3 linked regions of the Canis lupus familiaris genome follow. The protein of the gene in region 3 binds, or shares a complex with, the protein of the main gene of each other region. Links are inferred from orthologs where the notes say so. Each region holds a gene or a part of one and is shown on either strand. Other genes may lie near its edges.

Region 1 (10,830 bases), on a different chromosome or scaffold from region 3:
CCTCTTTGGTCTTTTACTATATAAATAGGGTTATGATGATCTTATCAAAACTCCTTCATTAAGTAATGAGATTTGCCCAAACAGAGTGCTGATTGATTTCCAAGTGTTCAATCCCGATAATTAGGAAAACAATATTATAATAGTATTGTAATAATAGTTGGAACATTTAATAATGGGTTTATTTGTTCACAACCAAAATTTGCAGCCTTCCTTTCCAGAACTTACATTTAAATTGACATCTGAAAAGGAGGTCCAATCAACCAACTTATTTAGAATACTTCCAGAAAGAAGCACATTGTTATTAGTGTCAAGGGTTTTTCAAAGTAGTAATTTTCTGGCTCTAGAAAATCACTGAGTTGAAGCAAGGAACAATTAACAATAAGAGTTATCAGCCTCACAATTCAGTCGTGTTTTAAACTATGGTGCACTTGACTTATTCCCAGAGCAAGCTGGCCTTGGAATATGAAAATTGCTTTTGTATATTTGTTATAACTTACCTGGCTTCATCCAGCCTACACCAGCATAACAGCATTCTCCTTTTTAGGCAAAGTGGCAGACTGCCCCTCCTGGGTTTCTTGTCAGTGGCACTAGAAACATTTTTGTCATGCTAGTCCAACACATGCAGTTCCTTGCCAGCAAAACTGCTTTTACTCTCTTGATACCCTTTCCAAAAATGACAACCAGAAGGTGCTGAATGAAGGCTTTAAACCACCAAGAGATTTTAGGTTGCTTTTTATCATATACGTTGAGTTAGGTGACTAAGTCATTGACAGCCACCATTGATTCTGATTGACTTGGAAGGAAAGTGGTTTTACTCCAGGACTCAGAATCCTATGCACATGCTGAATCACACATTCCTGTGTGTCACTCTGATGCTCCATGGATTCCTAAGTAGCGACTCTGAAATAATTGGTGGAAATTTACATATGGTTTGTAAGCAATGAGCTGAGTGTGCCACCCTGGTGGGTATCGCAAATGTTTGTGCTGAATCACGAAGCCAAACTCGAATGCTTAGCTCACACGGCCTGGGCACACACAAAATCAGCTCTCCTTCTAGGCTCTGCCAAAGAGGTGGCAATGCAGTTGTTACCTACATTCCAAAAATTGTCAACTATTTGTAGAATAAGTGTCATGAAAACCAGATTGAGTTGTCTTTGGTTTGTATTGACTTCCTATTTATTTTTGAATTAACCTTCTGAGATAGAAATATAAGATAAAAATGATATAAACATAAAATATACACATTCTGAAATGTAAATGACACAACTGTGCACATTTTTTCCCCAGGGGAGAGTTGCAAAGTCCACATATTATCCAACAAAAAGTTTATTATTGTAGGAGAAGAGTATATGGTCTATTTTGTACCTTATCGAAATGATTCCCTTTTTTGTCTAGTCATTCAGAATGTGTCATTTTAAAAGTACATCTTATAGTAGATTGCTGCCCTAGAAAGGGGGCAGAGAGCCAAGTTGTCAGACTCTAAGGTGGGGTTATAATTCCCGGAGAGATTGATGGAAAAATACAGAGAATAAGGTATGGCGATTTCAGGTGGCAGATGTATCTTTTAAATAGCACGAATACCGTATCACCTTCACACCTGAAAAGAGGATCACTGGGGGTCTACTGTCCCCACCATGAGATTTACTAAGGCCGTGTTGCTTGCTTAAATTTTTCAATAGTGCAATTTTTGAGTTCTACTGCTGTTTTTGTGACAGTTTCCATTCATCTCCTTGGCCTTTGAGTCTACAATGACGGAAGTAGGAAATCCAATAGCCGTGTTCATGTAAATACACAAATGAGCACACACAGGAGACGGATAAGAGTACTCCATCCACTCTTGCTCAGATCAATATTGCATTAGCTTGCTAGGCTAAGGTCTTGCTGTTGTTCAGGAAAATTCAATACTTCTTTGTCTTATGGTCGAAAAAGCCTTTTCACTCTCCTGTCTTGAGGGCTCCTAAAGGGAGTTGTGCGCTGCTGTCCGCGGGCAATGTTCTGAAGGACAGAAGGCAGATTTACCCAGCATGTCTTCAACATTATAAACCAGTGAGTCATGGAGACTCTCTAAATTATGAGTCTGCATTAGACAAGTTCTCTTCTGTTTGCTCTTTCAAAGAGTCTCCCTCTACCCCCCTTCCCCAGAGGAATGGGGTGGTAGTGGAGGGGAAGAATCTGCAGTCACAGCTTAAGGGGGCGAGTACAGCTTCCCTTGTGCTCTTGTATTCTCTGAAGGGTCAATGGCTGTGGGGGATCAGAGAATGGCTCCAAGGTTTCGGACTTTATTAGTTTGCCCACAAACTAATAAGAAAGAAAGAAAGAAAGAAAGAAAGAAAGAAAGAAAGAAAGAAAGAAAGAAAGAAAGAAAGGAAGGAAGAAAGGAAGGAAGGAAGGAAGGAAGGAAGGAAGGAAGGAAGGAAGGAAGGAAGGAAGGAAGGAAGGAAGGAAATAAAGAAAGAAAGAAAGAAAGAAAGAAAGAAAGAAAGAAAGAAAGAAAGAAAGAAAGAAACCACAATAATGGAATTTAAATGAGGGAAAGGAGTGAGAGTCTATGAATGGACTCTAGGATTCTCATTATGATTACAGATCAAAAATGGGATTCTTTTTGAGGAAAGGAAAGATCTGAGCTCACGGCTCTAGCATGATATTTTCATGCCTGTGTCATGGGCAACTTTGTACTCCAGAGGGAAGAAAAAAAGTATTGAATCTATTCAGAATGAAGAAAATCTGGCCTAGAATTAACACTTGTAGAGGAAGCTGAGGCTCAGGTTAAAGCTGAAGAGAAACAAAACTGAGAGTTTCACCTCCTGAGATGCTGCCAAGTGGGAAGCTTGATAGAACAACATTTTCTTCCTGTGATGCAGAGCCATGGTTCATGACCATGTGGCATCCTGTAGATAATCTTATCGATGTCCCAATGGGCTCATGTCCTTGTTTCTTCATGATAAAATGGTCTACACACACACAGTGTCAGGTTGCTGGAGCGTGAGGAGTTACAGTAGAGAGAACTCTTTGAATTTGATCAAATCAGTTACTGTGAATGCATGGAGAAGTTATCAGATATTCAAAGTAACCATTCTGCGCTAACTCAAATGTGGAAACAATTTGGTTGTTTTTTGTTTGTTTATTTGTTTGTTTGCTTGGGGGGTTTTTTTGTTTATTTGTTTGAAGTGGGTTGGCCAAGAACTGAAAACCTGTTCACCAAGCCTCTGACTATTCTAGAAGCAGGGTGCCCAGCCCAGCCAGCTGCTTACCAAGAACTCAGCGTGTACACGCAGCTCCAGGGAGATCAGCATTTAGAGCTTCACTTTTTCAATCACATTTGAAGCTTCTCCTCCCCATCAGCTGCCTTCTGCATCTGAGTCACACACACAGGCCTTGGCACACCGTGGCCCTGCTGTAGGCCTGACTCTTCAGAGAGGAATCCACCCACTGTGCTTCCTTGAACAAAGCAATAACTCTTAGTTGAAATGCAGAGAACCATGGGTTTCTTGGAGGGGAAAATGGTCCACACCAGATTGTCCTTCTAAGCCCAAACCATCTGGTATGTTTTTACCATATGTGCAATTAAAAAAAAAAAAAAATCTGGAGAAAAAGGGATTTTTTTTTCTTTATCTTTTTTTTTTTTTTTTTTTTTTTTTTTGCCTTGCTGATGATCTGGACAGGAATTGGAAAGATTCTCCAAGCCCAGAGGGCTTGTGCACTGTCTGTAAGGCAACTTAAAATTACTAATTGCCAAGGTTTATCTAAAAGCACTTCAATAAAGGGGTGGCCCACTTAAACCAAACAGAAGTCTGACTTAATCACAAATTAATCAGTGTTTCCAATCTTTCACTGCCCCCATACTCCTTTTTTTTCTCTCCCAGTATGCCCAGTCAAATGGCTGCATTGGGCCATCTTTTGGCCGCAAGACACAAGTGCAATGCAGTCACCTCTCTTAGATTTGGGAAAGAAAAAAACTGGGAGAGAAGTCAGACCCATTTTCTTTTCATTTTGTTTTCAACTTATTATTATGTATGAATTACTGATCTATGTAGCTTCTATTTGTTTTAACTGTTACAATTGTTAATTAGCCTACAGTTAGAGCCCTGCGTAGGACATAGTACATCATCCTTTGTCCAAGTCTGTGATGTTATTTATGATAAGTCTCCAGGACTAAAAGATGAAATGAGGAAGGATGTTGGGGTCATTCAGTGCTGGATCAGATTCTCGGTACTGGTCCAGTCCCATCCAGCACCAGTTCCTGAGATCTCCTTCCAGGGTGGGAGAAGTAAGTGAGGCAGCTGCAGGAGCCCGCGGTCATCACAGCCTAGCAGGAATCTTTCAGCACTAGGTGTTGTGCACACTTTGGGCCTGGAGATGAATGTTCAAGGTGCCCCTCGACAACCCAAATCTCATTCTTTGCAGTTGAAGCAAGCATTTAGATCCTGTTCTTGAAAACAATCCTGCTCAAGGGGGAATGTAGTTAGGTCTGTGATTGCCCTTCTGAGCACGCTTTAAAATCCTCTCCACAAACCTGATCCAATACTTGCACTGCAAACCCATCAACCAGGGAAGACTTGCTTTGGATAAGAGAACGCTTCTGGGTTCTGCTGGGACCCATGTTTGCAAATGCTTATTCTCACATCTGCTGGGGAACAAAAGATATTTCAATGTTCTCCGCATTGCTCCCTTTCTAGTTGGCCCTCACATTGGCCGTTACTGTGGACAGAAGACACCAGGTCGGATCCGTTCCTCATCGGGCATTCTCTCCATGGTTTTTTATACGGACAGTGCAATCGCCAAAGAAGGCTTCTCAGCAAACTATAGTGTCTTGCAGAGCAGTGTCTCAGAAGGTCAGTATTTATTCATCTTGCAAAGCACTGTGGTAAACACTCCCTGCTAATCCTCCTCACACACCTCGTGGCCACAGGAAACACTAAAGAAATATTTTGTGAACTGGATTGCCAACTATTTGTTTTTCTTTTTTATTTATTTTTTATTTTTTTATTTTTTTTTTATTATTATTATTTTATTTATGATAGTCACACAGAGAGAGAGAGAGAGAGGCAGATACACAGGCAGAGGGAGAAGCAGGCTCCATGCACCGGGAGCCTGACGTGGGATTCGATCCCGGGTCTCCAGGATCGTGCCCTGGGCCAAAGGCAGGCGCCAAACCGCTGCGCCACCCAGGGATCCCTGTTTTTCTTTTTTAAATGGTTTTGATGAATATCAATAGGAAAAACTATTTGGTATACTTTCTTAAGAAAATTGTAGATGAGAAGGCTGCTTGTAAGCCTCTGAACTTATGGGAGAAAGTAGGAAATGGGCAAACAGTGCCCAAAAACAATGAACTATATAGCCAGGCCATCTGTCTGGCTTGAAAGTGTACTGGGCTGAGATCATAAAAGGACAGGCATGGATAAGAAGAGATAGGAACAAATCTGTGGTGGTTTATTGACAGGGCAGCCTTACCGGATAGATGCAGACTCATGATGGTTCAGGTAGTGAAGACCCAGACAGAAGCCATTTTGTTTTTCTTTCTTATGTGAATAAAAGTAGATATTTGTATAAAAGAAGCATGTTTCAATTTCTGTTCTAACTTTTCCACAAAAGAAAGAGGAAGTAATATGTTTTGCATCTAATTAAAATATTGAACAAACTCAACCCTTCCTCAAAGTTTATGTGATGGTGTCCATCCCTTTCAAGAGCCCAAGAAAAACATGAGAAAGAACAATGAATAAATTGTGTGTTTCAACAGTTCTAGCTGTCAGGTTATAAAGTAGCATAGGTTAGAGACCAGGAGATGTTTGGAGATTTGTCCTACAGACTAGTATCTTTTTTACTATTCTTACTGGAAAATAAAAAGGCCAGGTAAATTACAAAATCTTATTTGGACTTCATATGATTAATTAATTAATTTATTTTTGTGTTTATAAATATTTTATATTACAAACAAACTTAAGCTTAAAAGTATGGAACCTGTGAAAGGGACCTTTAATTATCTTAAAACTTTATCTGTTATGATAGAAAATTCATGAAGTGTGAAAATTTGCTTAATTGAGATTTTTCTCAATGGTTGAGAATCTTTAATCTCTAAAATACTTTTTTCACTTTAGTGCTTCACATTCACATTTCCTAAAGGTGACTATTCACTTCCCTATATCATATTTCACATCAATGTCATATTTCATTGTTTCACTGAGTATATGGGGCCTAATGGAATACATGCTTTTGTGATTCATAATCATCATTGTGAGAATTATTATTTTATGTTGTAAAGCTGTGGTCCTCTTTGGGACCATATGATGCTGCAGTTTACTTCTGACAAATATTCCTGTATTTTATTTTTTTTTATTTTTTTTTAAACTTTTATTTATTTATGATAGGCACACAGTGAGAAAGAGAGAGAGGCAGAGACACAGGCAGAGGGAGAAGCAGGCTCCATGCACCGGGAGCCCGATGTGGGATTCGATCCCAGGTCTCCAGGACCGCGCCCTGGGCCAAAGGCAGGCGCCAAACCGCTGCGCCACCCAGGGATCCCAATATTCCTGTATTTTACTAATATAAACTAATGACATGAATAATCATGACCAGGCCAAGGTCAGGAGACATGAGAACAAAGGGAGTCAAGGAGAGGTGGCCCAGGTGCCAAATACAAGGAATCTGAAAGACAGCGAGCTAAGGTCTACTGTCCACTGAATATGGATTATAAATAGACATCGAGTCTTTTTCACTTTTATTAGGTATTGAAGGAAATAGTAATTTTTAAAAAAATATTTTACTTATTTATTCATGAGAAATAGAGAGAGAGAGAGGCAGAGACACAGGCAGAGAGAGAAGCAGGCTCCATGCAGGGAGCCTGATGTGGGACTGGATCCGAGGACCCTCGGATCACACCTTGAGCCAAAGGCAGATGCTCAACCACTGAGCCACCCAGGCACCCTGAAAATAGTTAAAATTTTTAAATTTTTAAATAAATTTTATTTAAATATAGCTTTCAGTACGTATCCATGTCACATATCTACATATATTTAACTTTGAAAATAAGTCAAAATTCCCATTATTTCCTAATACATCTCTAATAGTATTTCTGTCAACCTAGGTCCAGTTAGGAAAATAATTAATCACTATGAGACTTTCATAGCCTTGCATTTAAAAATTATCATTATTACAATTATTGCCACCTGTCACTGCTATGTCCCCATAAGTCCTTTTGCTGTCATCTTCTGTAAGACACTGTGTGAACATCAAAATGAATGTTTTAGATTGCAAGATTATAAAAAGAAATATGCATCTCAGGTCTCCTTTGTTTTGATGACATTTGGCTCCTTTTTTTCCCTTTCAGATTTCAAATGTATGGAAGCTCTGGGCATGGAATCAGGGGAGATTCATTCTGACCAGATCACAGCTTCTTCCCAGTATAGCACCAACTGGTCTGCAGAACGCTCTCGCCTGAACTATCCCGAGAATGGGTGGACTCCTGGAGAGGATTCCTACAGAGAGTGGATTCAGGTAGGCAGCATGAGACTTGGCACATATAGGGTTGAAGATTTTGGTTGTCTAGAAAGGTTGTTGATAAAAAAAAAAAAAAAAAGAAAGGTTGTTGATAAAAATGCAGTGCCATTTCAGACACCTTCAAATGAGAAGAGAGGACCAATGGGTAATCCCTGCAGGATCATCGTGTCCCTACAATCTTGAGAAAAGCAGCCCAGCTGATGTCTCTGAAAACTCATTTATTTTCTCAGATACTTTTATACAACTCTTCAGAGAATCTGAGCACAGATGTCTCACTTTGGTAACAACTAAAAGATCTAATTTTTCCCCACAACTACACATTTTTCTATTCAGACACTAACTCCTTCAACAGATTTTTATTTTCTTGACGAAATACATTAGCTCTAGCAGACTCGCATGAAATAATTGCATCTAAGGATAAGGTTTCTTATTCGTTTGTTTGTTCCGAGTAGATGAAGAGAAGAAAGGGGTTGAGGTTGACTTTTCCATACAGGTATACATGGCACATGCCCAAGAAAGCAGTCTGATTGAGGGCACTGGTCTTGGTGGATTATGTGTATACATGTACCTATATAATGTACTTGTATAAAGTGGACACATCTGTATTCTTATAATGATGTTGTTTCTGCTTCCCCCCTTGGCCCTGGCACTCCCTTCCCTGCCCTTGCTCTGGCATTCCCCAGAGACCCTCCTCCTCTGCACCATGACTCCCCTGCCCTGCCTCATCTCTGGCACCTCTCCTAATGCCTCAACTTGTGCCAGCCTTGATGTCTGGATACTCCCACCCAAGGCCTGATGCTCATGTTCTTGACTTTTTCACCCCCTGTCAAATGAAACATCCAGATCTGGCTGTGTGGGTTAAACAGTAGGCAAATCATACAAAGCTATTTGCTGAAGGATCCAGGCATCCTTTTTAGAGAGTAGGCAAAGCTTGTCTTACGTTCGTCGCTAGATATATAAAAATGACTAATTCCCAGAGAGAGTTTCTAAGCAAGAAAAAAAAACAAGATGATTAATCCCGTACTTTTTACATCTATTGCTGCTTCAGTCTTTTGAGTACAAATACCAGATTTTGCTTTACTTTGAAAAGGTCAATATTAGTTTAACATACACTTAAAGTGAAATGGCCTATTACAGAAGACTGAACTCCTGCTAACCTGTAAATGATAACACGGAGAAATGTGTAGAGGGTGAGAAAAGATGAGACTTTTACCTGGGGATTGCTAAATCCAGCTCTAGATTTAGTCAGAAATTAAATGAATTTGCCTTGGTAACTTGTTTTTCCACATCCCACACCTACCAACACCAGTATGATTGACAGACGTGCCTCTAGAGGAAAGCTTGCATTTTGTAGTGCTAAGCATGTCTGCACAGTAAGGCAGGCCTATTCTTGGTGATGTGGAGAGTGCTGGATAATTTAGGGACAGTGATCTTGCAGGGGTTCTGAAATTGCAACTGTAGCAATTCTTCTGTGCAAGGCAATTCTGTCAGGAGAAACATGGAGGCAAAATGGGCTCTCACAAAGCCTTTGTCCACAGGACGGGATTCACCTCATTCTCAGGAGTTAGGCAGAAGAAAAAAATCTGAAATGGCTCAACTCTTTCCACCAAAGCATAGAAAGCAATGGTTGGGAGAAGCTAGGTAACTCCACCCCACCTCCCAACAAGGTTTGCTTTGAGCTCAAACTTCTTGCCTGCGTCATCTCTAATGGGCTGACGATCCACTCCACATCTCACACCAGGACCCAGACAGACAGAGTGGCCATCATCTCAAACATTGCTTGTCACCAAGCAGAGGGAAAACGAGAGCATGGCCATCGTGCTAGCTCTTAAGGTCCCCTCGAAGAGCATTGCCACCCATTTTCATTGCCAAAGCACATCCCACAGCCATACTTAGCTTCTGAGGGGCAGCAATTCAGTGTGCACTGGAGGGAGGAGAGCTAGAAATTGGATGAACAGCATGAATGACAAGTGTGCCATTCATAGAATAGTCACCATTTATTGAGTGTTTACTGTGGGGCCTGACTTCTGCTGAGTACTTGACATATTTGCATTTAATTCTCACAGCAGTCCTGTGAAGGAGGTGCAATTATCCTCATTTTAAAAATGAGGACACTGAGATTCAGAGAGATTAGTAAATGCCCAAGGTCACAGTGAGTGACCGGACTTGGAAGCAGGGTCTGTTAGACTCCCAGTACCTGTTTCTTTACACTTCAGTCTTCTCTGTCCTTATCATCTGTTACCTTGCATATAAATTCAGGTGCACCTTGTGACTTGATTCCCTTTATGCTTTTCCTTGGGAGAAGACACACAGAGAGAGACAAGTTGGGTGCTTTACTGTTTCTAAACCTAAATATTCAGGGCCTTTATGGCTCCTCCATCCCTACAGAAGATGAATGCCAGAGAAGCTTAGCTTCAGTGCACCTCGAGGTAAAATTATCTTTTGCTCCTTGTGGAGCTCAATGGGCTCATTTCCATGCCTGTGTCTGTGTACATGGTGGGAGTTCTTATCATTCACCTGTCACCTAATTATGAAGAATTGCATATGTTTCCAGCTTCTCTGAAACTCCTTGGAAGTGGTTGGCTTGTTGTTTTCTTTGGGTAGGTGTTTTAAATTAACCAACAAGTAAAGCATAATTGAGGCTAAGGGCAAAAGGCACATACCTCCAATCACAGAAATATTAGTGCACATATATTTCTATTTATACACACATCAGTATGCAAATGGTATTTGTTTTCTTTTTCCACTTTTTCACATTTTGCACGAAATATACCCCACAAAACATGTTGCTACAGCAACAAGGACAAACACTTGCATGTGTTAAATTAATAAGTCAGTATTGGAAACTGACTTTCCTTCAAGACAGGAACAGTCTTGGGTTCCCATTGTTTTCTCTAGGAAATTACTGAGTGACATAAAAAAACAATGCGTCGTTAACCGTGGGTATGAACGTCCACACTGGGGCTTCCTGTGAGATCTTTTGTCTGCCAGAAAGCTTAAAAACAAGTCAAGAGGCAATTTAGTGGGAAGGGGCATAAGGGAAGTCCCGACTCAGAGCTGTGCACATGGTCATATCCTGCTCAAAAGGCCACTTCACATCCTGAGCAGCTAAAACCTCTTTAATTGTCCACAGCAGAGTTAATCACACTGTGAAATTTGCCCACGTTTTTCAGTCTTCCATTCTGTCCTGTGCCCTATGGCTGCTTATCTTATTATTAATGTAATCTTGTTCTTCCTTTTGTTTCTGGTTAAACAGTCAAGGATTCAAAGTGGTGCTATAACAATTCTTAATTTTCAAGCACATCATTAGAGCCCCAACCATTAGCTTCATTGAAG
Region 2 (9,981 bases), on a different chromosome or scaffold from region 3:
ATTTTTTCTAAATAAAGTACTTGATGTCCGAGGTTTCAAAATGTCTTCACATGGTCATCATAGGAAAATTCACAACTGTGTTGGACTTTTTCTTGCTTTATAGTTTGGAACGATTCTTACTTTAATTACATTCTGCAAGACCTGGAGGGTGGGGCTTCAGCCTCCAAAGAGCTTCGAACTGTCCCTCTGAGCCCTCCCTCTAGCATCCCTTCAGCATCTGAAACTCTCTGGGGGGAGTGAAGATTCTATTCTTTCTCAGTTCTGCCAATTTAAGGCATGATTTCAGAGAAATCTCTAAGCCATTGTGTGCCTTGCTTCCTGCAATAAGAAGGTGGAAAGAATAACCATTTAGCACCTCATGACTGGTGAGAAATAGCTGGTGGTTAATGAATCAATGCAAAGGATGTTTCAGATACTGTTTTCATTATAATGCCCCATTTTCAACCGGTGAGAACAGAAGACAGAAGACCCCGGGGTCGTTAGAGGAAGTCATTTCAGTGCCCCAGGGTAGAGAAGCCAACTCTTACCTATCCCCTATGGGGGGGTGTTGGGGGGAAACCTGGAGAGGGAGTACACCGCCCTACAAAGGCCCCTCCACCTTCTCCAAGGTCTCCATGCAGCATCTGAGGCAAGGACGTTCAACAAGCACCCTTTGCAGAGTTGAATGTGTTTTGAATTATTCAATTCCACTGGACTACCAAGTTGTTACAAATAACCCACCTATGCTCATCATCTCTTTTGGAATTATCCCAGAATGAACTTCTCATTTTTAAAATAGTTTCTCTTACTATTATTTTGAACGTATACAGAGTACCTTTATAGATTTCTTTTGTCTATTGGATGTTCGTATGATTATATTCTGTTCTGTGGAGGGAGATATAATTTGGTTCTGTACCTTCAGAAGGTTATGGTCACTGCAAAATGACCCACCAAGTTTAGAGGCCATTTAAAAGTGTCTCTACAACGTACTGCAAATCCATTTATCCGATAATCATTTATTAAGTGCCCAACTAAGAGCTCTGGTGATGGTGAGAGTTATAAATCCACATAAAATATGGTCCAGGCACTGGTTCTTATTGCTCTCTGCTTCAGTTGACATCCTTCAAAGAGCCGAAGGCAGGATTATCTTCACTAGGAGTCTAACCATAACCGCTGTGTTTTGCTCAACATTTCCTGCTTTTGTTGTTTTACTTCTTTCAAAATGCAGGACATATAGGCAGTCCTGAGACAGAGGTACATGTTCCCTTATGTTGCCTCAGCATATCCCTTCAACATTTGGACAGCACAGGGTTTGGAGCTGGGCAGAACAGGTCTATCCCCCTCCACCAAGAGACTCACAGTAAATGGAATCACATGGAGTAGCTGTGACTATTAATCTTAAGCTTTCAGTGAGCTACTAACCCACCGCTTCTCTTTCGAGGCTTCTTTTGACCTATAGATTTGTCCAGCAAACTAAAGCATTTAAGTTCTTTCTTATTTGTTCTGTATTTGCTTCTGGCAAGAACCCAGTAAGGCATTAAATGTATTAACCCCACATTGCAAATAAGGAATAACTGAGGCCCAAAGATGAGAAGTCACTTGCCAAAAGGTCACCCAGCAGTAACTGGGAGCCTAAGACCCCAGGCCTTTGGAGATCTCTAGCGCTGCTTGCACCATCACCCACACCCCGCCCTCTCTGACAAGACCATTGTGTTCAGTCCTTCACAGTGACCAATGTCACAAAGTGGATTTAATCATTTCCATGAATGGCCCTTCACCCTTTTCAGAAATATAAGCAGAAAGCTTTAAATTTGGAAGGCGTTTTCCAAAAACCACTTGTAACTTATCTTCTTCAACTGCACTTTCAACTTAATCTCTGATCTGTTTCTGACTCTGTACAAGGGATTTCTGAATTTGCACAAGCAGATGAGAGAAGCCACCTGCTTCGTGGTAGGTATCTCAAAACTGAAGAGATGCAGGCTTTTAAGACCACTATTTACATAACAAAATGAGATGGGAGGGGCTGTCTGAGACACCATTTTTCCGTATCCTCCTTGATTTGTTAACAACCCAAAAACCTGAGCTCAAATGTCATCTTCTAAAAAAGTTTTACCCAGTGAAAGAGCGAGTGGTCTCCATGAGATTAAGATAGTCAGAGACCTTAAGACAAGAAAGGATAGCTAAAAGTAAAGAAACAATGGATAAACTTGAAATTTTTGCAGTTTTTCCCAATTAAACAATGAAGGAAACAAATGGACCTCTTTAGCCTTAATCTTTCCCTGTTCTTCTTAAGCTGAGAGGTCAATTTAAATTATAAAATACCAAAGTCAATTGTAGAAAACTACCATTATAAGGACACATTTATTGGGAAGACACAGCGCCCCCCCCCCCATTCCGTGCAAATAGGGCTGCCAGGAGATGATCCATGAAATGCCCACTGCTATGAAAACTTTACCTCGTACGTAACCCCCCACCCACCTGCACTGGGGAGGTCTACCCTGTGGTCAGATTCCATGGAGATTGCCAAGTCAACGCGGGAAGTTCAACTCCTTTTATTCACAGGTGTACATTTTTGTGCCATTGTACGTAGGTGGTTAAAAACGTTCAATCCAACCCCAAACCATCAAAACTGAAAGAAAATCAGTTGCTATTTTAGCATTATGGCAAGGAGATGCAAATTTAAGGGAGAAATTTTCATTAGCACAGTTCCTTGGTGACTAGGTATTAAAACATATTTGAATGCAAGACCCCTCGCCGTTTGGGAAGCTCCACGCTGTACAAGGTGTGAGTTCTAGCAGAATTTCCTGCTGTTTTTTAGTCCATTTCTACCCCTCAAAAGTTCATGAATATAAATCTGGAAATATTTGAGAAGTGTCACATTTGGAAATTATTCAGGGTCTTGCCATCTTACACATTCTTTCCCTGGAGGTGAACTGCCTGCCCTGCCCTTAATTACCAAGAGCATTTGTTTAATCACAGAATCTTTGTTTCTCAAGAGGTATTTGCTGCTTCTATTTATTCCCCCTAAAGTCACAATCCTTTGTCACAAGACAATCATTTCCACAGCAACCAACTGTGATGTCACAACTGAGGGGAGGAGGAATGTTTAGAAAGAAGAGAGGATGTTCTCTTCCACAAGCAAAGGTTTCTGAGTTCTAAAACGACTGCTTCCCTAATCAAAATATTTTAACGGAAAGACCCCATGATCAAGCTGCATTTCTTTGAGGTCTCAGCTGTGACATACGAAGCATTTCAGAAGTTGAGGGGCTGCATGTTGTGGCTTAGGAAGGGGTAGAGATTTTTATTTCATTTCATTCTAATTCTGTGCCAGTGATATCTGCCAGTAAAATACATTAAACATATTCCAGAAAGAGTTGATTTAGCAGATGAAAAATGTGTCTCCTGAGACCAGAGAAGGTACATTTTCTGTCTTACTATCATTTCCATAATAGGAACAATGTTTACATTTCCTCAGCCCATGCAGTGCCTCTAATGTATTCATGTTCTTTCGCTCTCCAGAGGCAGGAATTGAGGTATTTGAGATTTTATTTTTTAGCTACCGCATCAAGCACTTAAGATCTGACAATCGTGATGTGTATTCTCACTTGGTATTAAAAAATAAAAGCCTCAGTGTTTGCATTTGATTAGAGTCTCTCAGCTTGGAGGCTGATTAAGCAGGAACAGGGAAAGCAACTTTCTTCAGAAACACAGCATCTTGGTTAATGTAGTGTAAGATTATTGACGGGTGTAGTCACATAATTTTTATTAAATTGATGAGGTTAGCTCTCCCGAAGAATCTCACCGTGACAGCAAACTCTAGCCATAATAATGAGTCCTGACACGTCTCAAACCCACGACAAGGCCCCAAATGGCTCTTCTTTCTCTAAATAGTCATTCAGTTCAAGCAAGGGAAGAGCTTCATTCAGATACTCAGCATATTTACCTGAAATTGAGTGTGCATGGGGTTTGGGGTGGTGTGGTGGTTTTTTTGTTTGTTTGTTTGTTTGTTTGAAGGATGATACAAAATCAGCCTAAACATTTGTAATGTGAGCTTTAGCTGTTTTCTTTCACTGTAAATGACACAAGCTGTCTTTCCTCCAGTTGCCTGAAATGCAAACATAGCTTTTCTCCAGATAGAGGCCACAGTGCCCACAAAGAAGTGGTCAGAAAAGACCCTGGAAGCCTGGAGCATTGTGCCATTTGTTCATTTATTGGACATAAAACTGTTGCCTCTCCCCACCCCCACCCCACCCCAGACTCCAAGTATTTCCACACTCTGAATTTTATGAGGGGAAGATTGAGAAAAGATGAAGGAGAGGGGGAGGAGGGAATAAATTTTGGAAATGAGAAACTGTCATATTCCATAGACTGAAGCAAAGTCGAAAGAGCATGTGCTTGAGAGGGTGGGGGTGGGGGTGGGGGTGGGGGGGAGAAGCACTTTTTCAGAACACAAAGGCGGCCACAAACCAAGGCTGTTTACATACTACCCGGGTGGGCGGGGTGGGGGGGCGGCTTGGGGAGGATTAATCAGCTGATGTTTGGCAAGCTGCGCCCCAAAACAAGTTATGCGGAGGTGCTGTTGTCCCTCACTGCTCTTACTAATGAACGGGGCGACCGCCAAGCAGAAATGAGCCTCCCCGTGTGCTGTGGGTTCTTGACGCCGTATGCGATGTCTGTTGCAGGAGTGATTCGGGAGAGTTACCTCAAAGGCCACGACCAGCTCGTCCCCGTCACCCTCCTGGCCATTGCGGTCATCCTGGCTTTTGTCATGGGGGCCGTCTTCTCCGGCATCATCGTCTACTGCGTCTGCGACCACAGGCGCAAGGACGTGTCCGCGGTGCAGCGCAAGGAGAAGGAGCTCAGCCACTCGCGCCGGGGCTCCATGAGCAGCGTCACCAAGCTCAGCGGCCTCTTCGGGGACACCCAGTCCAAAGACCCGAAGCCGGAGGCCATCCTCACGCCGCTCATGCACAACGGCAAGCTCGCCGCGCCGGGCAGCACGGCCAAGATGCTCATCAAGGCGGACCAGCACCACTTGGACCTGGCGGCCTTGCCCACCCCCGAGTCCACCCCGACGCTGCAGCAGAAGCGGAAGCCCAGCCGCGGCAGCCGCGAGTGGGAGAGGAACCAAAACCTCATCAATGCCTGCACCAAGGACATGCCCCCCATGGGCTCCCCTGTGATCCCCACGGACCTGCCCCTGCGGGCCTCCCCCAGCCACATCCCCAGCGTGGTGGTCCTGCCCATCGCGCAGCAGGGCTACCAGCACGAGTACGTGGACCAGCCCAAGATGAGCGAGGTGGCCCAGATGGCGCTGGAGGACCAGGCGGCCACGCTGGAGTATAAGACCATCAAGGAGCATCTCAGCAGCAAGAGTCCCAACCACGGGGTGACCCTGGTGGAGAACCTGGACAGCCTGCCCCCCAAGGTCCCGCAGCGCGAGGCCTCCCTGGGCCCGCCGGGCGCCTCGCTGTCTCAGAACGGCCTGGGCAAGCGGCTGGAGATGCACCACTCCTCCTCCTACGGCCTTGACTATAAGAGGAGCTACCCCACGAACTCGCTCACGAGAAGCCACCAGGCCACCACGCTCAAAAGAAACAATACTAACTGCTCCAACTCCTCCCACCTGTCCCGGAACCAGAGCTTTGGCCGGGGAGACAACCCGCCGCCCGCCCCGCAGAGGGTGGACTCGATCCAGGTGCACGGCGCGCCGCCGGCGGGCCAGGCGGTGACTGTCGCGCGCCAGCCCAGCCTCAACGCCTACAACTCGCTGACGAGGTCGGGGCTGAAGCGCACGCCCTCGCTAAAGCCGGACGTACCCCCCAAGCCCTCCTTTGCCCCCCTTTCCACCTCCCTGAAGCCCAATGACGCGTGCACATAATGCCAGGGGAGGGGTCAGGTGTCGAAGCCGCGGGAGCGGCCGGGCGCGCCCAGCCGGCGGGGCCCTCCGCTGCCCGAGCCCCCACGGAGCGGAGGACGCCGGCTCCCGGCCCGGGCGCAGCGGGGAGGCGCCGGGCCCCCGGGCCCCCACGCGGGACTCCCCTCCCCTCGCAGGCTCCGCTCTCCCTCACGCTGCGCGACAGGTCGGACTCACGAGAGACTTCAGCGATCATCACAAACACGAGCCAAAAGCACACCCCCCCACCCAGCCACCCGCGCGCGCACACACGCACACACACACACACGCGCACACACACAGGTGAACAGTGCCCGCAACCTTCTGTCCGCGACTGTGCGGGGCGCCGCCCAACAGGGCAGGAGCCCCACCTGCAGACCACAAACACGTTTTTACGAATCATGAAACGCAAAAAGACAGGAATAAAAATAAAAAGTAAAGAATTCATTGATAATTCTAACTCAGACTTTAACAATGGCAGAAGTTTACTATGCGCAGATACTGTGAAATGCCCACCAGTGTTACAGCTTCCTGTTCTGAGCAGACGATGCCGCGTTGGGCAACCAGGTCATAGGTTTCTGCTCCTCTCTTTTAATGAAATAACGTGACCGTTAACGCAAGTAACTCTTTATTTATTGTTCACCCTTTTTTCCTTAAGGAAAGGACTCTTCCACATGCCATCCTACCAACGGCTCTTCAGGAAGCCCCTTGAAGGTTAAACTATTTAACGTGAAATCCATTAACTGGAATAATTGAGTTTATTTTTACAATAAATTCACTGAGTAAATAAGCTGGAGCTGGAATTCTGAGCTTTGTGTTTGGACTGTCTGATCTCTGGCTAGAGGAAAAAGTTGCGAGGGGAATGAATATTTATTGAAACCAACCAGTTAATTTGCTGGTCGGGTCTCTGGCCTCTAACATGCAAAAAATTAATTAGCTTAAAAGTCCTTCCAGATCCTAACTTCTTAACGCAACCGGGAGAGGAACTCTTAGAATGACACATCCCGCGGCCCATTGCTGCCAACGTGGCTTTGTCAGTGGTTCCTACTTTCTGTGAAGGCACCAGCTTGTGAAACCCATCTCATTTCACCTTGCATGTGAGACCGCAAACAAAATCCACTAAAGGTGTGAACTAATTAATATGCTGGCTGCTACCTTGCATAAATTAATGGTTTGCTCACACGGGTTTTTCGTGGGGTTACATCTGTGAATAGCCTCTTTTCCACATGTAAATTTGTGCCTTACACCCTGAGTTGTGTACACTTGTAAACTGTCGTTATGATAAACTTTCCCCCGCCTTTTGAAATAAATGCAGATATTTATTTGACCCTCCCTCCCCCCACTCCCACTCCAGCCCTCTGGAAGATTCCTAGCGTCTAGCAGATGGAAGAAGAATGCAGTGGTGGTGGTGGTGGTTAGAAGCCTGCCCCCCGGGAGAGCTAGGCAGCAGCACACCCTCCAATTCACACTTCCTTCTACTCGTGCCAACTCCAGCCACCCCTTGGCCATGCCACCAAGCATGGACACCAGTGTTGAGGGTGGCAGTACCCTTTCTCCCTCCGGCGCTCCCTGCTTCCCGGTGTTCTCAGATCATTTCAACATGGTGATAGCCTCCTCGGCCAGCAGAGAAGGGACTAACGTCCCAGCCCTCCTTTCTGCCGTGTCCACTGGCTGGAGAGCACGCTGTCTGCGGTGGCCAGACACCTGGAGGGCGTCTCCAGGCCAGGGGCTCGGCACGCACGAGCACTGCACACAGAGACATGACGTGGAAGTAGATACAGGCAGGCTGGTCCCTGCTGTGATGGACGAGTAACTCCAAGTACAAAGCCAACCACGATGGATGCTGCAAAAAACGTTGACCGGGCCAGAAGATTTGTAATTTCTCAAAAAATTTCTTCATCCTTTTGTTATTATTGTTTGTAAGGGGGCGGGTGGGGCGTGTTTTTTCTCCCCCGGTTGGTTCTCATTAGCTCAAGCACACAGAAGGGACTATTGTTTACTCTATCATGAACAAAGAACTGTCAACATACTGTAAACAGTGAGCATTGTTTGGGGTTGTTGTGTTTTTTAACAGTTAAACAGTATATTTGGTGGCCTCTTTGTCTCTTTTTATTTCCAGTTTGATCTTCTGAGTTTAATCTTGTCTTAAAAAAAAAAAAAAACTTTCAAAGAAAGACTATTTGGAACAATTTTGAGTTTGTTAGTGAAAAAGTGGTACTTCCATAATCAGAGTGAGACCAGGTGTGTCGCGAGGACAGACTGGTAGCTTTGTGTTCCTGCAAACCTCCCGCGCAGTTTTGCTGTCGTTTGGGGTAGGTTTTTGTTGTTTTGTGTCGTTATGCTTTTATTCTGTTTTGTGAGCAGAATCAATGTTCACATCCTGTGAACTCTGTACCCTGAAACCAACCATAAAGTCTCTTCTAGAAACTGAGATCATTGTTTTTCCCTTCTCCCCGAATGAAGCTTGACCCCCAAGAGTATTGACCGGCAGCACCCACGCTCTTGTCCCATGGGTGGGCATCATTGCCTCAGCTGTGTTACGGAGACCTGTGTCAAAACTTCCAGCCCGCGTCCCCACCGCCCCTCAACCCATCACTTGCGGTGTTCTTCCTGAAATGCCCACATGTATTGAGCTGGTCTTTTGCATTTAAGTGTTTTTTTCCCTTTTTTTTTTTCCCCACTGCGTGTGGGGGGAGGGTCCATAAACCTGAGTGTGCCTTTGCTTTCCACCCTTGCTAGACACTGGTAGATGCAACAAACTCAGATTTATATTTGTTGTAAAGTTGTAAAAATATTGTGATGTCACCAATTTTCCTTCCATCTCCACATCCCCTAACATCTGATTCATGACGTAATGTATGTTGTAAAACAGGAAAAAAAAGAAAAAGAAAAGAAAAAAAGGGAAAAAAAAGACAAAAAAAAAAAAGCAAGGAAAAGGCTCTTTATTACTTAAAAGTAATAAAACAAGACTGTTCTACATTATCCTTTGTGTCCTGAATGTTTTTATTTATCTCTTAAGTTTTCCCTTTTGAACCCCATCCTTTGGGGTTGGAGCCTACTCTTTCCCCATCTTCAGAGCATAAATAACAGGGGGTTAGACCCATTTGTTTGCAGTACTCACACCCTGCCCAGCCCACCCCTACCCCCACCCAAATTATGGATGTATTTTCTCCCTCCACCCAGCCCTGAGCAGAGGTTGTAGCAGAAGCCACCGGTAATTAAAAGGCAGAGCACGCATTGACTCCCTCTATTCATTTTATGCATTTTCTTTTTATGGGCTTGTTCATCATCAAACATTTATGGTAGGCTTGATAGTTTAAGAGATCAAGGCTAGGATTTTAGTATGTAGGGTCCACTAAAAATAGATCCCAGCACAGATGTGACTTCAGCCTTTTTACATATTAATAAGATGGAGGGTGCTGGATTTTACTCCTTGTTAGCATTTCTTTCTTATAACCCAGAAGACACGGTGGGAGGTATATTGGGATGCAGCCCTGGATTTTTATTTTGTAGAATAGCATCGCAAGATGTCTAGATAAGGTTTACCCCCCTGGAGTATTTTTTTAAACAGTTATTTAAATAAGCCCTCAGCTACATTATTTTACTTGTGACCTTCTGAAATCTTTTTTTAAGTGTTTTCAGCAGTTCACATGTGGGAAGCTACGGGTTGGGCCTCGGTCAACACCTATAGTGATCCAGTTACCTTTGGGTATTTCCAATTACATTTGTGAATCCCACCCAGAGGGCCTGGCATGTTGGTGCAAAGTTGACTAGAATAAAGTTTCTGGTTCCTCGTTTATAAGAAAAGATGGACGGGCTCTCTGTGATTGCCACTGGGAGTTAGAAGCAAAGTGGCCAAGAGTTTGGGGGCACAAAGCTACATTTGGGCTGGTATTTTTTCTTTTTTAAAGATTTATTTATTGGAATGCCTGGGTGGCTCAGTGCTTGAGCATCTGCCTTGGGTTCAGGGCATAATCCTGGGGTAGGGATTGAGCCCCGCATCGGGCTCCTAACGGGGAGCCTGCTTCTCCATCTGCCTGTGTCTCTGACTCTCTCCCTGTCATGAATAAGTAAATAAAATCTTTTAAAAAATAAAGATTTAAAAA
Region 3 (10,830 bases):
AGGACTCAGGGCTGGCAGCCAGGACCCCAGGGCTGGAAGTGTGACCTTGGGCCAGATGCTTCTTCTTTCTGGGCCTCCCTTCCCCGTGGAAATGGAGTGGTGCTGCGGGTCTGCGGATGGAGGCACCAAGTCCGCCACTCCACAGGGCTGTCAGTCACCAGTGCTCCCTGCTTCCTGCTGGCCTCGGGATGAGAAACAGAGTTTCTCGGTCCCTCTGCGATTCCTTGCATGCCCAAATACTTCCTCTTCCTGCCCAGGAGGTCCCTGGTACGTGTGCCCCTCCAACCTCGAAGCATCGGACCACCTGTATTCCAATCCTGACTATGCCATGTACTGGCTGTGTGACCCTGGGCGAGTCCTTTCCCCCTCTGGGTTCATTTCCCCCATCTCCAAATGGGGACAATGACAATAATGTCTATCTCAGGGGGCTGTTGTCAGGACTGAATGAGTTAATATACATAAAGGGCTCGGAACAGCGCCTGAAGCCTTGGCTGTCGTTACTGTGTGGGGCCGTGGATCCCAGGGTGCCCCAGTGTTTAGCAGACAGGGGATCTGCTTCTGCAAACAGCACCCCTCCCCACCCCGTTTCCTGGGCTGCAGATCTGGGGAATGAGAAGGAACAAAGCCCCTGTGACAGACCCTCAGTGACGGGGATGCCGAGGGGGATTTTAACACCGTGCACGTGGTGCAAATTATACCCTCTGGTTGCAGTAGATCCCAGGCATTTGCCGGGGCTGCTCAGCAGTCTGGGCCTGGGGAAGAGTGACAATGGCAGAAGAAATTGTAGCTCTGTCCCCGGGCCCCTCCCAGCACCCTCTCCCTGCATTGTGCCTGAGATTAGCTCTAATTTAAATACAACAGTTCTTAATGAGAGTTTCTAATGCTCAGATTGGCAGGATGGGGGCTCTGGAGTCGTGAAACAAAGACGTTCTTCCTCCTTCCTGGGCCCACGTGGGGTCTGGCAGCCTGAGACCTCGCTGGCTGGGAGCTGGGAGCTCCGGGTGGGCTAAGGAGGGGGCCGGAGGGGAGCAGGTGGGGAGCTCCAGAGCTCTGCTCTGCTCCCTGGGCCTCAGGGACGGTGGGCTCGGCTGCCAAGGGCTCCAGCCCTCTCCCCTGCCAGTGAAGATGGCAACGGGGGACGGGTGGGGGCAGGTGGTGGCCGCCGGTCACTTGGGGTCCCGGAAGCGGGGTGCAGAAGAGGTGGGCCGGACCCAGGCCCAGCCCCCCGCTGCCCCCAGAAGCTTCTGGGATGATGGAAATGCTCTGAGCGCGTGTCCAGCAGGGTGGCCGGCCCGTGGCGACTGAGCCCTCGGGGCGCACCGGCTCCACGGGGGACCCGAGGTTCACGCTTTCACCAGGTGCCGCACCCGGGCTCGGGGTCACGGAGCTGGGGCTCCAGCCCAGCTGCCAGCCCTGGCCCGGGCTCCTCCGTGGCGCTGAGCCGCCGGATAGGCCTTGGTGCGTGGGGTCACAGGGGGGACGGGGAGCCCGTCGTGCACCCGTGGGGACCCCCACTGCCCTCCCCGCCGCCCCCCGCCCCCAGGCCGCGGGGCCGACCTCCGGAGCAGCAGCTTGGGGTGGTTCTTGTTCTCCAGATTCTTCTCGATGAGGTCGGAGAGCAGCTGCTTGAGGACGTCGGTGGCGTACTCCAGGCGGCCCTGCAGGCCGGTCATGATGAGCGAGGCCACGTTGCCCCGGTCGCGCATGGAGAAGCTGCGCTGGAGCTCTAGGGTGCGGATGAAGGTCAGCAGGAACACCTTGTTGTTGATGAGCTGGGCGAAGAGCTTCAGGGCCTTCTCCACGTGCTGCTGCCCGTTCCCCTGCACCTGGGGGGGACGGCCGGGCGCCCTCAGAGGCCGCCTCCCGCCTCCCCGCCCGGCTCTCCCCGGGGGCCTCTGGCCAGAGCGACAGGCCTCTCCCCGGGATGCCTATAACTGCCCCCCCACCTCCCCCCCACCCCCCTACTCCCGGTCTGGGGAGGAACAGCCCGCCTCGAGGTCCCCGGTGTGCCCGCCCGTCCACGGGGTTGGGAGGCCTGGCTCCAGGCTGAGCCGTCCGTGGGGTGCCGGCCGTCTGACTTTCCCAGGGATACTAGGAGATGCTCCACCACACTTGCCTGGCTTACGAGTCTCCCTTTAATCCTCTCTGCCCTGATCTATTATCTTTCGTAAAACAAACCAACAAACGAACAAACAAACCTCCCAGAATCATGTGTCTTTCCTTAAGCCACCTTAAATCCATCTGAGGATGCGATACACTCTTAGTTAATTAATTTAGTCATTAATTAAAAAGATGACAATGAGCTGGAATCATCCCAAAGAGCCCGTGTGACCCCGCTGGCCGTGACCTGCCTGTTGTGGCGATGCTGTTCCCGGCTGTTCCTCCCCCCCGCCCCCCCTCCCGGATCCTGACCTTCCTCTAAGCTCTGGAGCCCCATCCGCGTTGCCAGGACACCCAGGCCCTGTGCTCCTGCTGGGTGGCTCGGGAAGGGTGGCAGATGTTACCTCCAGCTCCCGCAGCACGGGATGGTCCTCGATGCCAGGGAACAGGACTCGCATAGCGTAGGTTCGATAATCCAGGTAGGGGATTCCTGAGCGGTCCAGGTCGCTGGTCAGCTCATTGATGTCTGTCTGGAGCTCAGCAAAAGCTATGAAAGTGCAGGGAGACCAGGGGGCTCAGGAGGGCACCCAGGGGAAAGGCAGGAGAAGGAGGGGTGGGCCTGGGGTGCCGGGACAGGGAGGGTTGTAGGGATGCATCTCCAGAAGGGGTGAGGTATCGCCAGGCCTCCTTTCTTAGGTGGTGGGCATGTGGGCGATTTCTGTTATGTCCTCTTCTATGCTGATGCATAATTTGGACGTGCCTGTGTACTGTAAGTGTAGTTTAAACAAAGCAAAGGGAAGAACAGTATGATTTGGGGCATGCATGGGGTTGCAGGTTCCAGAAACAGCTGGGAGGCAGGCAGTGACCAAGCGGATGAAGAAGAGATGAGAATGGGCAGCTTTGCTCCCCTTTTCTTTCAAGCAAGAGAATAAATCAAGATGCAAAAACCCTGCACAAAAATGAACATGAGATACTACTTGACACCCATTAGGGTGGGCTATTATAGAAAACTGGAGGGGCACCTGGGTGGCTCAGTTGATGAGGAGGCCGATTCTTGGTTTTGTCTCAGGTCATGATTTCAGGGTCCTGAGATCAAGCCCTGAGTCGGGCTCTGTGCTCAGCGGGTGAGTCTGCTTGAGAGTCTCTCCCTCTCTCTTTGCCCTTCCCCCTCCTCGTGCATGCACATGTGGGCACTCTCTCTCTCTCTCTCAGATTAATAAATAAATGAATAACACATTTTTCTTTAAAGAAAAATGGATGACAACAAGTATTGGAGAGGATGTGGTTACACAGGCACCCTTGTGCACTGCTGATGGGAATGTAAATTGGTGCAGCTGCTCTGGAAACCAGTGTGGTGGCTCCCTCCAAAAAGAAACAGAATTACCAGAGGATCCAGCAATTCCACTCCTAGGTATGTACCCAAGAGACCCGAAAGCAGGGACTTAGATATTTGAATACTTGTGTTCGTAGAAATATTATTTGCGGTACTGAAAAGTGGAAACAACCCAAATGCCTGTGGACAGAAAAATGGATAAACCACAAGTGGTCCCTACATTCAATGGAATATGACTCAGCCTTGAAAAGGAAGGAGATTCTAACACATGCTACGACTTAGTGAAGTAAACCAGATGCAGAAGAACAAATACGGTATGATTCTGCTGCACGAGGTCCCTAGTGTAGTCAGATTCAGAGACAGAAAGTAGCATGATGGGTGCCTAGCAGCTGTTGGGTGGGGACGTGGGGGTTTTTGTTTAATGAGCCCAGAGTTTCAGCGGGGGAGGATGAGAAAGTTCTGGAGATGGGTAGTAGGGATGGTTGTACAACAACGTGAATGCACTTAACGCCCATGAACTAGAGGAAGGAAGAGTCCTGGGGTGTCTAGACGGTGAAGGTTAAAAAGGTAAATTTTATGTATATTTTAACACCCACACAGAGGACACCAAGAATGCCAAACCCAGCCTGGGGGTGCCCTTGATGCACCCCCTGCACCCCCAGCACCAGGAGAAGCCATTCCCCACCTTGCCCCGGCCCTATATTCCCTTTCATCCAGCAGAGGTCTTGTTTCTGATCCTGACGATTGCAGCAAAAGGAGAAATGTTTTCATTCCTCAATGAAATGTTTGCTCAGAGAGCCTGCTAGGTCCTCAGCCCGAGGAAGATGCCAGGGATACCTGTTACCTCGAGGCTGTGGTTGCGTGGGAGATAGAAGAAAACATTCTCTACTCTCACATGCATCCGTGGCCAAGGACACCAGCAAGTGGCGGCCTTCAGAGCCCTCCGCCTGTGGCAGGGGTGGGAAACAAGGCCTGGGGGAGGGGGCGAGGCAGGAGGCAGGTGGGAGCTCCCTGCCCTTCCTGCTGCTGCTGCTGCTGCTTGCACATGCTCCTGGGGCAGCTCCGCAGGACACAGGAGCTGGACTTCCATTTTGTGGGGGGAGGGAAGGGTCTTTGGGGTCTGAGAGCCTGGCCTGGGAGGCTGTGTCTGTGGGGAGACAGAGGCCCTGGAAGGGAGAGTCAGGGGGCCAACTTGGGGGTGAGTCAGGGCACAGGAAGGACTAGAGCAAGATGAGCAGGCCTGGGGCCTCACCCTGGGCATTCTTTTATTTTTTTAATTTTTAATTTTTTAAGAGTGAATCTTGAGCAGACTCCATGGTCAGCACAGAGCCCCATGTGGGGCTTGATCCCACGACCCTGAGATTACGACCTGAGCTGAAATCAAGAGTCAGATGCTCAACTGACTGAGCACTACCCCCCACCACCACCACTCCTTGCAGGCACCCTTAATAGGACTTCTCTGGTGCTAAAGGCAAAGGGAGGCCTGTGGGCAAACAGAGGATTAGGGTGGAAGGAATGACTATCGAGGTGAGTTGTCTGTAGGGAGGAGGTAATAAGGCTGATGAAGAAAGATGGGTCCAGGAAGCGAGGGAGCGCCTCCACTTACCTTCCTTGCACTCCAGGGCCACGCGGGACTCCAGGTTGTCCATCTGCATCTGAAGCCTCTTGAGAGTGAGGTCGTTTTCTCGAGACTTCCGCTTGTAGGCAATGAGGACGATGATGACGATGATGAGGAGGAGGCTGCCGCCCGCCGCGATGCTGACAATGGCTGGCAGGGTCAGCAAGCTGTCTGAGATGACACTCACCGAGCCAGGAGAGAACACCATCCCGCCCACGTGAACCTGTGCATTGCACACACACAGACGCTGTAGAGCCCTGGCATGCCATCGAATCCTTACGTTTCAGAAAGGGCATGAAAGACCACAACCACACAATACAGACTTGGATAAGAGACAACTTCCTGCTTTTTATCCCATTTCAATGCAGAACACGGTGACGAGGAGCTATGCAGGAGGTAGACGGACGGCCTTACTTTAGGACAGATCATGCATGCACAGCCAGGAGAGGAGGAAGTCGTGAAAGGAAGAGTTCACTCACCATGACCTTGTGCTGCCCCGTGAGGTTGGGAGGCTCACAGAGGAGCTGCGTCTCGGACACAGTGACAGCACACGGGGTCTCTCCAATCAACACCGTGTAGTTGAGTTTGGCACCTCCAGAGGCAGGAGGGCAGAGGTTTTTGCCCTGCAAATAACAGTAATCTTAATAGAAATAATGGACACATGCACACAGAAGTTAATTGCTTATTCCAAAAAAGATTAGGGTGGTGGGGGAAGGGCAGCCATGCAAAAACCAATAGATGGCTCCCCAAAAAGTTTTTGAGTTTTTTTTTTTTAGGATTTTATTTATTTATTCATAAGAGACACAAGAGAGAGGCAGAGACGTAGGCAGAAGGGGAAGCAGGCTCCCTACGGGGGACTTGATCCCAGGACCCCGGGATCATGCCCTGAGCTGAAGGCAGCCGTTCAACTGTTGAGCCATCCAGGCATCCCTCCCCAAGACGTTTTTGGAGAAAACATCAAACGGCCACAATTTAGAGAGCCAGAGGGGAAAATGCTAGGAGAGGAAGAAAGGGAGGACGAGATGGGGGAAGAAGACAGGAAGAGGAGACCAAATGGTGAACAAGTGAAAATCTGGAGGAGGGCACTTGGGATACAAACGAAAGTAACAAAACAGGCGGACGGATAATTCCAGGGAACCGTGACCTCCTGAAATGTGAGCGCAGGTTATGGTGGCCATGGCAGCGGTCAATAAAAGGGAATGTTTACTTCCAATGTGCTGCAGAACTTTGGAGTCCCAGAGCTCACAAGAACAAACAGAAATACTGTAAAGTGTTTCTTGAGAATCCCAAGTGCGAGATATATCACAGAGTGGGTCGATATCTATAAACAAGCTCCCTTTTCAGGGAGATGGCAGCTTTGTGAGTCCGCGTGCACAGGGGGGTGAACAAGAAGGGCCGGGGAGGGGGCTGTCACCATCACGGCGTGTGGCAGGCTGCACTCTGCACATCCTACCTTCAGAATGATGGGGGATCCTGGCTTTTGATCCAAGACTCCAGTGGGGCTGAGCAGTTCAAAGGTTGGGTTGGGGTAGTAGATGAACTTGGTGTCATTGTAAATGAGCAAAGACTGGACGTTGTTGAAGACGAATCCAAACTCATCTGGCCGTTCCACAGTGTCTAGGCCGGGCCGGTAGTCCGTGGTCAGAGAGGGTGCCAGGCAGGTCAGCGTGGTGGTGTTCACAACTTTGCACACCTAGGAGGCCCAGAGCATGGCATTTAAATGCAGACTAAGCATTGGGTAAGGTGGAGGGTGCGGGGGTAGGGGTGGTTGTGTCACCCTACCACCTCCCACCCTCTGCTGTGGGCTGTTAGCATTGGGTTACTTAGCTGTCTTCATTAGGGATCAGTCCCCTTGGCAAAAAGAGCTGTGAAATGGGGGGGGGGGGGCTGCATTTAACATCATTCATTCATTCATTCATTCACCAGCATTGTTTGAGCATCTATTCTGTGCCAGGGGCTGTGCTAGGAGCTGGGGCCATCTAGTGACATCGTCACGGTCTGCAGGGGGAGAAAAAGGACCACACGTGCTTTATAACGCAGTCTTGGCAGGGGCCCTGGAGTGCAGACGGGGCCTGCGTGTGAGGAATGCCCCAGTGGGCAAGGACCAGGTAGGGTAGGAGGACCTGCGTGTGTGTGAGTGTGCACGGCCGTGGCCTGAGGATGACTCAGGGACAGTGTCCCTTGGAAGAACTGAGTGTAATGTAATCTGAAGAACGAGTGGGACTGAGCTAGACAAGGAAAGGTGGGGTGTGGGGACAGGCCACAGGGGGACAGAACAGCAGCAGAGGCCTGGCCTGGGGATGACGGAGCACAGAACGTTTGCAGGCAAAGCAGGACAGGAGCAGTGTAAGGTGTGTGTGTGTGTGCGCGCGCGTGCATGTGTTCTGGAGCAGGGAACAGCATGAGATGAGCACTCCGCCAGCACGTAGTAGGTGTTCAGTTAATGTTTATTGAATACACTAATGAATAAAAAGAATCCTTCAGCTCTTTGAACTTTCTATTCAGGAGCTCTCTCTTTTGCAACGAGGTGCTCCCTTGCTCGGCACCACGGAGTTCAAGTCGTCCTCTCGGGCAGCCCGGGTGGCCCAGAGGTTTAGCGCCGCCTTTGGCCCAGGGTGCGATCCTGGAGACCCGGGATCGAGTCCCGCGTTGGGGTCCCTGCGTGGAGCCTGCTTCTCCCTCTGCCTGTGCCTGTGTCTCTGCTACTCTCTCTGTGTCTCTCATGAATAAGTCAATTAAAGAAAAAAAAAAAAAAAAAGTCATCCTCTCTTTCTGGGTAGACCCCGGTGTCCCTACTGAAATCCTAGCTGAGCTGGCCCCTGCTTAGCACGAGTGGTGCCATGCCCTCCTCTGGTGGTTTAGTTCCAGGGCTGCCTAAGGCAGCGGCCAGGCTAGAGAAACCACGACGGGACCCCTGTATGGCTGGTGGACAAAACCTGGCCTCCCCCCCACTCCGCCTGGCTTGCACTCAGCAGGCCCCGCTTCGGGCTCCGGGTGTCCCAGCGACAGCCAAGGGCATCTGGGAGATCTCGGCTGCACAAGTACGTGCAGTCCTGGCAGGTCCACACGTGTTGTGAGTCTGGCCAACGCACACACACGCACACGGGCTTCATGTTCTGAAAACAAGACCTCGTGTGAAACTGCAGAAAAGCTGACAGTTGCGCAGAGATGATGTCAGAGCTCCAAGGATTAACCCCCACTTTCCAGAAGGAGTTGAAGCGTTTCGTCAGCAGAGCTCGCAGGGGGCTTCGGGTCCTGTTGGAGGTCCGGGCCCGCTCCTACCCTTTCCCCTCCGACTGCGGCAGCCCCTTGGGAAACGAACGTCCCCTCGGTGCTCCAGCTGGGGACGCTGGGGCAGGGGGGACAGGTGGGTACGCTCAGAGGGGCAGGGCTGAACCCGGGAGTCTCAGGGCCTGGGCAACTCGGGGCAGGGCCTCTTCACTCTGCTCCCCCACCTTCGTGCGCACTCCTGCCAGCGCCCTAGACTGGACTGTGAATAAGCAAACCACTCGGAAACAAGCAGCCTCTGTTTGCTTCCTGCCTGGTGCTGCCTCGGCACTTTGTTTGCCAAACATTCCTTGGGGTTTTGCGGCCTTTGCTTTGGCCCTTCTCACTAGTCCCCCCCACCCCCGGGGGCTGCTTCAAAACCCAGAAGCAAGAGGTAGCCCCCCTGGGCTGAGGATGGGCTGAGGATGAGCCGGGCCCCAAGCAGGCCTGCAGGGCAGGGCGCTGTTTTCCCACCGCTCCAGACAGGGAAGGTGACAACCACTCGTCCAGGCGTCTCCTCCGGGCATGCCAGCCTGCACACCCCGGGCAGCTCACTGCTGAGACACCCCCACCCCCGGCTCTCAATGGCATGATGGGAGGGATGGGCACCGGGGGACTTGCTCGGGAAATTCCCATCCGGGGCCACTAGTGTACCCTGGTGAGGGGAGAGGACACATCAGGACCTTTCCAGATGGATGTCAGGTCCAAGGAAGGCCTTCCCAGACCAGTCTTCTCTCCAGACGGCTTCCCTGGGCACTAAGGCTGCAGGCTTTGGAGGTTAACCTTGTCAGTCCCATACGTACTCTGTCCTACGTTAACCATGTCAAATACTTGCTGTATTTCTGATGCTGTGACATTTGGGGCCGTCCCCTCCCAGGGCCAGCCAGGGCCTAGAGACAGCAAACAACTTGCCTGTCTGCCAGGGCACACTGTTCTACTGCAAACCAATCAAACCAGAGCCCACACCCCCGACCACCTGCTTTTCCACGTTCTGAACAACTACCCACCATGTCTAATCAGACCAGGCCAAGTACCGGGCAGCTAGGGACAGCCCCTGAGCCCCAGAGCCCTCAGAAATGATTCTGACCGGGCAATCCTAAACCTGCTTACATTGCCTGGTGGGTTCCTTCCTGCAGAAGCCATAATAAAGGCTCTTGCCGCAGTGCCCTATTCTCCCTCTCCCCCCCCCTTCTACACCCACACTGATGCTTCCCACCTGCCCCGACCCCCGACCCCAGGGCATAGCAGACCCCCTTCCCTGCAGTCGTCTCCTATGCTGTTGGCCTTGACATACCTGAGTCATAACAGAACCTACGTTTTAAAACACGTACCTAATTTGTGTAGGGGTTTTGTCCCTCCCGAGGGTGAGCGCACTGTTCCCATTTCTACCCTCACCTTCCTTCCTCCCACTTAGGCCTTGGAGTTGGACAAGATGGTCTGTGAGCTACTGGGAACACGGGGCTCAGTCTGGAAGTGGAGGGAGACATAGGCTCTTTTATTCATGGATCAGACTCTCCACTTGGGATAAGGAGGCATGTGGTCTCTCAGCCCAAAGAGCTGCGACCATGGTGGCCACTGAAGGTGTGATACAGGTGTCCCCACATCTCTGCCATGAGGGAATGTCACAACCCAATCGCCAGCATCTCACGTGGTCTAGTCATGAAGAGTCTGGGTTTGGGGGATCCAGGTGACCCTACTACCAGCTAGCTACCTTCATAGTTCCGGGCAAGCCATTACTCCCTTCTGGCCTTCACTTCTTCAGCGAGACAATGAAGGGGGATGGACCAGAGGATCCCTGTAACCTTTCCAGATCTAGCCTTCAAACACCATGCATTTTGTGCCTTTCTGTGTTTCCTAAGGAAGCTTCTAGCATGCTGGGAACCTGTCAGGGAGAAGACGATAGATACAGTACCGTCTTTACCATCTCTATCACAGCCTACTCAATCCCCTGGGGTCAGAGCAGTAATAATAGCAATTATCTGACAAATAATGGCCATAATAGCATCTCCTGGACTATAATTATGAATACAATAATGTTTCAGAAAATATTGGCTAACAAGACTGAGATGGAGCCACTAGAACAAACCAAAAAAATGTATAATGACATCTCAGACGTTCCGCTTTTATGATCAGGAACTTCTCTAAAAATCACAAAAACCCGTAGAGGAAAAAAAAATTAAATTACATGGCTCTGCATAGCGGAGTAAAGGAAAACGTTCAACTGATCATCTTAGCAACGGGCGTGGAACTAGCCGCACGCAGCCACTGACGTCTGTCGGGTGCCAACCCCGTGCCCGCCGCGGGCGTGTTACCGCCCTGCGAGGAGAGTCTTATCATTCGCATTTACAGGCAGAGGAGAGAGGATCCCAGAGGATAAATGATGGGATCACGGTTGTATGACTAATAAACAGCAGTATCCCGCTTCCAATTCAGAAGCGTCTGGATCTGGAGGCCGAATTTCTTCACCCTTCCACTTTGCTTCTTATCGGACCTCAGAGTGACCATGGCACGG

The links.
Region 1: the proteins of PLXNA2 (region 3) and NRP1 are in contact, whole or in part, in a crystal structure (PDB 4GZA), measured with the Mus musculus proteins. The link is inferred for Canis lupus familiaris from reciprocal best matches to the Homo sapiens genes PLXNA2 and NRP1. Residues at the interface, in NP_032908.2 of Mus musculus: Asp273, Leu274, Phe275, Glu306, Lys341, Gly342, Gln343, Lys344, Gln345, His348, Pro350; in NP_032763.2 of Mus musculus: Glu78, Arg80, Asp81, Lys83, Tyr84, Asp126, Tyr127, Glu128, Thr129.
Region 2: the proteins of PLXNA2 (region 3) and SEMA6A are in contact, whole or in part, in a crystal structure (PDB 3AL8), measured with the Mus musculus proteins. The link is inferred for Canis lupus familiaris from reciprocal best matches to the Homo sapiens genes PLXNA2 and SEMA6A. Residues at the interface, in NP_032908.2 of Mus musculus: Ala93, Cys94, Tyr95, Pro96, Lys155, Gln192, Asp193, Tyr194, Asp220, Phe221, Val222, Pro229, Ser230, Asp231, Leu386, Lys389, Val391, Thr394, Lys395, Ala396, Pro397, Val398, Leu407, Asp408, Ile409, Asn410, Gln411; in NP_061214.2 of Mus musculus: Arg108, Met109, Lys110, Gly111, Met162, Ala163, Thr188, Phe190, Leu191, Ile193, Tyr198, Thr206, Arg208, His212, Asp213, Ser214, Glu219, Gln266, Arg267, Glu270, Lys271, Lys393.

What each region holds. Positions count from the first base shown.
Region 1 is NC_049223.1:3,707,552-3,718,381, forward strand, and holds part of NRP1 (neuropilin-1), read left to right. Parts: intron 1-4,676; coding exon 4,677-4,832; intron 4,833-7,324; coding exon 7,325-7,491; intron 7,492-10,830. UniProt on the Homo sapiens protein: Cell-surface receptor involved in the development of the cardiovascular system, in angiogenesis, in the formation of certain neuronal circuits and in organogenesis outside the nervous system. Mediates the chemorepulsant activity of semaphorins.
Region 2 is NC_049232.1:6,386,277-6,396,257, reverse strand, and holds the end of SEMA6A (semaphorin-6A), read left to right. Parts: intron 1-4,661; coding exon 4,662-5,860; 3' UTR 5,861-8,801; downstream 8,802-9,981. UniProt on the Homo sapiens protein: Cell surface receptor for PLXNA2 that plays an important role in cell-cell signaling. Required for normal granule cell migration in the developing cerebellum.
Region 3 is NC_049228.1:6,646,087-6,656,916, forward strand, and holds part of PLXNA2 (plexin-A2), read right to left. Parts: intron 6,745-10,830; coding exon 6,505-6,744; intron 5,675-6,504; coding exon 5,531-5,674; intron 5,275-5,530; coding exon 5,040-5,274; intron 2,648-5,039; coding exon 2,505-2,647; intron 1,827-2,504; coding exon 1,558-1,826; intron 1-1,557. UniProt on the Homo sapiens protein: Coreceptor for SEMA3A and SEMA6A. Necessary for signaling by SEMA6A and class 3 semaphorins and subsequent remodeling of the cytoskeleton. Plays a role in axon guidance, invasive growth and cell migration.